Linked DNA regions of Yarrowia lipolytica. The protein of the gene in region 1 binds, or shares a complex with, the protein of each later gene. Links are inferred from orthologs where the notes say so. Each region holds a gene or a part of one and is shown in the gene's direction. Other genes may lie near its edges.

Region 1 (4,110 bases):
CTGTAACACAAACAAATACCGCATTTGATGGACAGTATCCTGTTGTACTTGTGCTGGTTGATGAGTGGAAAACACCCAACTATTAGTTGATTATGAAATACAATTTAGTTAAAAAGTAGTTGAGATTAGGAGGCGTATCAAGAACTACTGGAGCTTGGGGTTGGTCAAAAATGTATTGTTTTGAGAGAGTTATAAAACGTCTACATAGTACTGATAATACTCTAGAGGATCCCTGGGGTTCGATTGTAGATGATCGGAAACCCATTAGCAACCACCACAGTTGGGGTCACCGCACTTGGGGCAGTGCTTCTTCTGGGTAGGAGTAGGAGCACAGGGCTTGGCATCGATGGCGATGGTACCGGTGATGGTGGTGTAGTGGGTGGTGATAATAGTGGTGGACTTGGGGCACTCCTTCTGGGGGCACTTCTTGGAGTGGATCTTATCCTTGAACTGGTGGATGTCCTCGGGGGATTCAGCCTGGTCGTTCATGGGGGCGGCGACGGCAAGAGCGGCCATGGAGAGGAGGGCGAGGTTCTTGATCTGCATTGTAGTGGGTGTGAAGAATACTTGTTTGATGGAGAGTAAAGAGGGTCTGGGGGTGGTTTATATAGGGCCTGGGAAAATTTGGACATTCCTTAGAGTCATAGCGACTGTCTTGTATCGATTAAAGCGATACGACCTGCTCACCTTGACGGCATAAAGTAGCTGCTTGAGATGAGATGAGTGCGGAGTTTGGATGTTGGAGAGTGTCAGATAGTGTATAGATTGGTTTGAAACAGTTTCAGGGTCACCCAAGCCCTTGTATTTGGGAGTGTGTATGTCTTCATCTGGTTATCTCGTTTCTCATCTTGAGTTCAATGGGGGCGGTCGAGTATCGCCCGTCCCACACGACACGAAGGAGGAAGAGTGTCGCAGAGTTGAGCAAATAGCTCTATACATTCAGATTCATCTGAGGTGAAAAATTATAGGTAATTCAGTAAGGTGCAAGATCTCTTAGCAATAGAGAAGTTGGTCTACTATGTACATGCTGCTGCTAATGTCCAACAAATACACCTATCTAGTGTTTGTCAGAAGGAATTGAAACTATTCGAATCAATTTATACAACTAATAGGACATCATATAGCTCTTCAGAAACTCCCTGACATTTTCCAAGTCTTTCTGAGACCTCTACTGGCTATACTATGGGTCGAATCAATATCAGTGTCGGCATAAAGTAGCATGTACTTGCCATTTCCGAATACTTATAGACATTGAACTACGGATCAGATTCCCGATGCTGCTAAGTATTCATTCAGATTGCTATTATAGACTGTGCGGCATATAGTAGACGTGGTATGGTGGGTATTGCAGCCTTGGTGAGACTGGACACACTGTAGGCAAGTATTAGTCATATAGAGTGAAACAGGATCAAGAGAAGTTGCAATATAGTGACAGGGGTAAGATATCCGTTGACATGATTGTTTACTAGAATCTTTTGTTCAACTGGTTTATTTCAACTATCTGTATGTCTCTCCGATATCTTTAACAAATATACACTTCTCTTTCAACTAACTGAACAACAATCATTGCTCAACTCTCTACGACACTCTTAAACACGCGGAGAATAACTGCAATTCACTCACAACCGTCTCCTTCTACCTCTCCATACTCAATAAAACAATATTAATTACCCTCTCACCGATAGTCACATCCAGGACACATTTTATCAACTCTGCCATTTCCCCCAATCGCAACATCATGCAGGGAGCTGCACCTAATTTACACCTTCAACCTTGGGTGAGCAACTCAATCACAACGTTCCCACAATCACCACCACCACCCCACAGCGGTCGATCATCAGCCCGAAAAAAAGACATGCTCCGAATATCACGTGACACCAAAATCGTCGCGCGTGTCACTCACGTGACTAAATCCCGTACCTACGCCACCTCGACTGCTCCCAAGCTGGTTGTCGGCCTCGAGATCCACACACAGCTGCTCACCAAACGAAAACTGTTTTCTTCCACCACAGTACCTTCGTTGTCAACCACGCCCAACACAAAAGTCAGCTACTTCGACGCAGCTCTTCCCGGAACACAGCCGCGATTGAATCCCCAGGCTCTGCTTCTGGCGCTCAAGGCGGCCATTGCTCTGAGATGTGATGTCAAGGAGCTCACTGCCTTCGACCGAAAGCATTACTTCTACCCGGACCAGCCCGCAGGCTACCAGATCACTCAACATCGAAAGCCGCTCGCCATCAACGGAAAGCTGAAGCTCAATTGGTGGGATCTGTACAGTCAGAATGAATGGCCTGCCCTACTCGCTAAGGAGGCCAACACTGACTCAGCAGACACACGCGATCTGGCATCTCGATCTATCGACGTTCCTATTCTTCAGATTCAGCTTGAGCAGGATACTGGAAAGTCCACTTACCACGGATCAGAGACCCTGGTGGATCTCAACCGAACTAACATGCCTCTTATCGAAATTGTCACAGCGCCCGTCATTCATACCGCCTCGCATGCCGCTGCCTTTGTCAAAAAGCTCCAGACCCTGCTAAAACGCATTGGTGTGTCCACTGGAGAATTTGAGTCAGGTGCCATGAGAGTGGATGTCAACGTGTCCATTGGAGAAGACGGAGAGCGGTGCGAGATCAAAAACCTGCCCAACACCTCTTCCATCGAAGCCGCCATTGAGGCCGAGTACAACCGACAAGTAGAACTGGTAGGCAAGGGAGGAACTGTGGAGAAGTCGACCATGGGTTTCGATGGCAAGAAGACATTCATTCTTCGATCCAAGGAGAACGCTGTCGATTACAGATACATGCCTGACCCCGAACTGCCGCTGATCCGACTCAGTAAGGGTACTTTGTTGAAGGTTAGAGACAGTCTCCCCGAGCTGCCTGACAAGGTCTTCTCTAGACTGACAGATGATCCCTACTACGTGACCACCAAGGACGCCCTTACGCTGATTCACGTGGCTGGCCTGTCTGACTACTACTTTGAGGTCTTTGAGCGAGTGAGCGAGGAGACTGAGGATGCCAAGGCTCTCAAGCAGCCTGTCAACTGGGTGGTTAACGAGCTTCTTGGACGAGTTCGAAAGGCCGATGAGGCTCGTGCTGCCGAGTCTGCCGAGTCTGGGGAGCCTGATCTCGGTGCTCATGACTACAACTCCATCTACCCTCCTGCAAAACTGGCTGAGCTCATTTTGGCCGTTCACAACCACCAGCTGACGCTTCCCTCGGCCCGCCTTCTGTTCCAGCACTTCCTGGCTAACCCCGAGGATCTCAAGAACATGACTATCGAACAAGCCATCACGGAATTCGAGCTTGGTGAGTCTGGAGATGTGGTGGATGCCTGCAGACAGGTAATCAACGAGCATGAGTCTGTTGTGAAGTCTGTTAAGGACGGCTCCAAGCCGGGTTCCATCAAGTTCCTGATTGGTATGGTCATGAAGGCTACTCAGGGCCGGATCAACCCCGCCGTAATCGAGCGTCAACTGAAAACTGAGATGCGACACATGTAGACTGTTTAGCTCATCTCCTGTGGGTGTACAATATCCCTGTAATTACGATAGAATAATAATAGATTTACTGAATTGAATCAGACAATGTGCACGTGTATGAGAAGACGGCTATAGATAGGTCGGCTCGATCTATAGAGCTCACTCAGCGAGAACGCCAGGGACTTGCTTAAGGGCCTCTTTGACAGACTGAACACCGACCTTATAGTCCGACAACTCGTTATAGACCTGACAAGAAAGTCGAATGTACAGCTTGCCGTTGTGGAAAACCGGAGGCACAAAAGTGTCAAAGTTCTCTAGAGGGTAGGTGTTGATCACTTGGAGCAGATGCTCCTTATCTTCAGCAGATGCCTCATTGAGCCACTTTTCGCTCACGGGCAGTCTGATGTTGACCATGGCGGTTGTGAGTGTTCCAGCGGCGTTTTCTAGGACTTCAGTTCCGAAGAAGTCGGCAGCAAAAGTTCCCACCTTCTTAGCCAGCTCGAAGCAGTAATTTCGGATCGCCTCTTCGCCGCCAATCTGTTCTCTAAACTTGACAGCAGCAGGAGTAGAGAGGTGAGTGGAGAAGTCAGTGGTACCAACAAAAGTGAATCTGTCGACCAGACGGC
Region 2 (4,219 bases), on another chromosome or scaffold:
AGAGACTGAGAAGAGGCAGACTTGGAAGGGATCTCGAGGGGAATAAAAGCCATGTTGAATTGGTGTGGAAGTGTGTTGAAGATAGTCAGCTGTTCGTAGCTTGAAGACTAGGGTGAGAGCGCGGGATGAAGGTGGTTAATGGTCAGAAACTTGGCAGGATCTTCTTTGGTATATATACGTTACGATGGCCCTTTTTTTATACTTTTTTGCGTGTCGAGCTGACAGTCTATGCACAAAGAATCAAACCCTAAAGTATAATGTAAATAAGGTGCAACCTACCGAACCTCGGCCAATAGGAGAGGGTAACTGGGACCACACTGGGCATAATTAATCCGGCAGCCTCTATTCAGCTGATACAGTGGCAAATTTGGTGGGATACAACACGAGTTCTGTGACGTGGAAAAGGAGAGTAGATTTTCCAAAGTTGCGCCAACAAAAGTGCTTTTTGCCCCTCCACTTTGCTCTTTGTTGAAACATAATTCCCCACACATTAAACTGCATGTGACTAATTGTACACCCCTGGTGCAGTGCCCAATGACTCAATCTTATCCTTTACCTCTTGGGGCCAAAAATGACGAGACACAAAGGGGTAATGTGCGGGTGAGAGGAGTGTAATTGGGCGGTAGAAAGGGACACATTGGCTGTGGGTGGCATTATCGCGCTCTGGCAATGCGTCTCATGTGTATCGCAGTTGGTTGTGGTGTCTCTTCATTATCGTGGTGAGTCATTCATCGCCTGTTATGGTCTTTAGTACCATCTGTCACGATTGTCTCACTCATATTACACATTTAGCACTCGAGTGAACGTCTCGATGTGTGGACCCTGAGGTTCCTTGTTTCCGCGTGTCTCTTGTGAGTTCCTCCACCTCTCGTAATGTACTCGTCTTCTGGACCCCCATTGGTCCACATCCGCATCTCCCTACATAATCTCTGACGTCATGCACGATATGGAGGCCGAGGTAGGGGGCCGAAAGCGCAGTACAACGTATGAGCTTCAAAATATGTTCCGAATATATGCCGGAACCAATGATTCAAATCTAGCGAGCTGGTACGAGATCCAGGGAAAGACCCACTTGCCACATCCAGAAACAAACGACATGTTACAACAAAAGATGCCGAAAAACCTCCGCTAGCTTCTACCCCTGCTGTCATACGTACTTAGCTACAAGTAGTGGTAGGTCAACGTGACTTGGACAGCACAGACGCAGGTTAGATGGATCCATTAACCTACTGTAGACACAAGTACTGTGCTGATTGACAGAAAGTTCGTCCTTGTGGTATAGTCTGTGGCGTTTGTGTGTCTCTCGACGTCCACACTCGGCCCTTGTTCGGTCGTTGAGCTGGACATGGGTTTGAATGGGTGTTGCGACGATTTTTAGGGGCTATAGGGTTGCTCTATACCAATGTGACGTAAACTGTTATCACCCAAATAGTCATTCATGTCTCTTGCTTCCGTCATTGAGTCCATTTCGATGTTCCATGGCTATAAGTCTTGGGGCACCGTGTATGTACTCGTACAGCACTTGTAGCTCCTGTTAGCGCAGTCTACCATAGTCTGTGTACCATCTTTAGGGTATTACAACAAATATACCCATAAATCCCTCTACGTGTTGTACGATCTTCACACCCTCTTACTCTCCAATCATGTCTTTCTGGATTGGCTTACTAATGTACGAATGTGCTTCGTCCATTGTATCGTAGCACACCACGAATTCAATAGATCCCACTCACAAGCAAATCAAGTGTCACTCAAGTATACTTCTGGGTTTGTCACTGATTCACGAGAGCGTCCAAATGCTCACCTAATCAAGTCCTAGCTTCTCAAAATTCACATCAAGTTTGAACTGGCCAAGACATACGTACTGTTGGAACAACGATACAAGCAATCTACTGCTGGGTAAATGATGAATAAGTACGTGCTAGATTTAACAGTTTCTTATTTAAACCCACCTCTTAGCCATCCAGTAAGCTACTTGTACTCCTAAGAACTACATCGCCCACCTACGAAGTCTCAAATAAACTCCGTTAGCACAAGCATGTCTGAACATCTGCATACAAGCAGCAAGTCAAATCAACAGTTTGAGCGACCTCACCATACCAGCCATGAGTGCACGACTGACCGTCCAAAAATGTATGGAAAACATCATCAAGAGTAATCCCTACAGCAATGCTCTGATCTCTACCGCCGAGAACCCCCAGGTGGCTCAATCGGGAGCCCTGGCAGGAATTGCACTGGCAGTCAAGGACAATATTTGCACCAACGAAATGCACACCACTTGTGCATCTGGCATTCTGGAAACGTTCACATCCCCCTTCGATGCCACCGTTGTCGACCTGCTGAAACAAGAGGGCGTTTCCATTGTTGGAAAGGCCAATCTCGACGAGTTTGGTATGGGCTCAGACAATGCAAACTCATGGTTTGGACCTGTCTTCAACCCCCTGTACCCCGATGAACCTCACACTCCCGGTGGTTCTTCCGGAGGCTCAGCTGCCGCTGTGGCTGCAGACATGTGCCATTTTGCTCTTGGAACAGACACCGGAGGAAGCGTGCGATACCCGGCCGCTCAGTGCTCCGTCATTGGCCTCAAGCCCTCGTACGGACTTATCTCGCGACACGGAGTCATTGCGTATGCCCAGTCTCTCGACACAGTTGGAATTCTCACCAAGGACATCGATCTGCTCGAAAAGGTGTTCAACATCCTCAACAAGTACGATCCCTTGGACCCCACCAGTCTCACACCCCATAAGAGAGCCAAGCTCAAGCCTCCCAAGCCCCACAGAAAGCTCACGTTTGGTCTCGTCAAGGAATACAACATTAAGGGCATCTCCGAGAATGTCAAAATGGCGTGGTCACAGATCATGGACGAGCTCATCAAGATGGGCCACGAAGTAGTCACATGTTCGATTCCTGCCATCAAAAACGCCCTTCCTGCCTACTACGCTATCGCACCAGCAGAGGCTTCATCGAACTTCGCACGATTCGACGGTATCAGATATGGATCTCGAGCTCCCGAGGACCGAGGGGAACATGGTACCCTGTACGCTCCTACTCGACAGGAGTACTTTGGAAACGAAGTCAAGCGGCGAATGTGGCTTGGAACATGGAACCTGTCGACAGACGCCTTCAACCACGACTATATTCGGTCGCAAAAGATTCGACGAATTCTACAGGAGGATTTCGACGAGGTCTTCAACCGACCCAACGTGCTTTCTGGTAACGAGGGTCAAAAGGCCAACGATGAGCCCGGTGTGGATTTCATCATTGCTCCCACTTCTAACTGTGCGCCTTACCCTCTTTCTAAGCTCAACGACTCTGCTCCCGTTGATACCTACCTCAACGATGTACTCACCGTCCCTGCTTCCCTGACCGGTATTCCTTCCCTCAACATTCCCTGGAAGACCAAGCAGGGCAACGTAGGCATGCAGATCATGGGACAGTACGGTGATGATTTGGGCGTTATGAAGGTCGGTCGACTGCTCCTGGACAAGTGCAAGGAGCTCCACCAGGATTAGTGGATGTATATATAGATTGACTACATGGTAATAGACTCAGAACTGACAACACGGGTGGTGGAGGTGCCTCAGTAAAAGCACGCACAGCGGTCATTACGTGATAAGTGACACAGTCATCGATAATTTAACAATTTCATACTGTAGTCATTAATTAATATAGGTCTATTTGTTTATTCGTGGAAAGCATTGACGATCTCGTCCAGCTGGGCAGTGATGGCGTTGATTATGACATTTCGGTCCCAGGATGCTCGGTGTGCCCATATAATGTCAATGATGGCGGCATAGACCTGCTCAAGCTCCTCGATAGTGAGCTCGCCAGTGTTACCAGCAAGGAAGTCAACCACATCCTGAGCCTTCTTGGTGTCTACAATGAGAGGAGGATCAGGAGTGGGAGGGGGAGAAGGAGAAGCTTCCACAGGAGGTGCAACCTGGACTTCAGCCTCCACGTTCTCTTCCTCAACGACAGTTCCATTGGCGTGTCCGTTGATGGCGGGCTCGGTTCCAATAGTTGCCGTCTCGGTCACCTCTGTGACAACAGGGTCGGGAACAGCACGCTCGACCACAGCAGGTTTAGCGACAACGGGTTCAGCCACTTCGACTTCCTCTGTCTTGTTGTCAACCTTCTCATCTTCGGCGTCAATGTCAGCCATCTCCTCGTCCTTGACCTCCTCGATCATACCCTCGCCGTCGACCTGCATCTGATTGAC

The links.
Region 2: the proteins of YALI1_E11370g (region 1) and YALI1_F30703g are in contact, whole or in part, in a crystal structure (PDB 4N0H), measured with the Saccharomyces cerevisiae proteins. The link is inferred for Yarrowia lipolytica from reciprocal best matches to the Saccharomyces cerevisiae genes PET112 and HER2. Residues at the interface, in NP_009473.2 of Saccharomyces cerevisiae: Tyr66, Ile69, Ala70, Leu71, Pro72, Gly73, Thr74, Gln75, Pro76, Val77, Arg105, His107, Phe109, Tyr110, Gly111, Pro114, Gln115, Gly116, Tyr117, Tyr123, Leu177, Asp297, Arg299, Tyr300, Met301, Pro302, Pro304, Glu305, Pro307; in NP_014021.1 of Saccharomyces cerevisiae: Val56, Leu69, Phe72, Pro75, Phe76, Arg176, Phe177, Gly178, Val179, Ile180, Gln184, Ser185, Met211, Lys212, Asp213, Pro214, Thr215, Ala291, Glu292, Ser295, Asn296, Ser298, Arg299, Tyr300, Arg304, Tyr305, Leu319, Phe320, Arg324, Asn339.

The regions. Positions count from the first base shown.
Region 1 is NC_090774.1:1,135,276-1,139,385, forward strand, and holds YALI1_E11370g (uncharacterized protein), read left to right. Parts: upstream 1-1,738; coding exon 1,739-3,505; downstream 3,506-4,110. Other genes in the region: YALI1_E11351g (uncharacterized protein), read right to left, coding at 273-546; YALI1_E11402g (uncharacterized protein), read right to left, coding at 3,644-4,110. UniProt on the Saccharomyces cerevisiae protein: Allows the formation of correctly charged Gln-tRNA(Gln) through the transamidation of misacylated Glu-tRNA(Gln) in the mitochondria. The reaction takes place in the presence of glutamine and ATP through an activated gamma-phospho-Glu-tRNA(Gln).
Region 2 is NC_090775.1:3,068,240-3,072,458, reverse strand, and holds YALI1_F30703g (uncharacterized protein), read left to right. Parts: upstream 1-2,102; coding exon 2,103-3,512; downstream 3,513-4,219. Other genes in the region: YALI1_F30647g (uncharacterized protein), read right to left, coding at 3,683-4,219.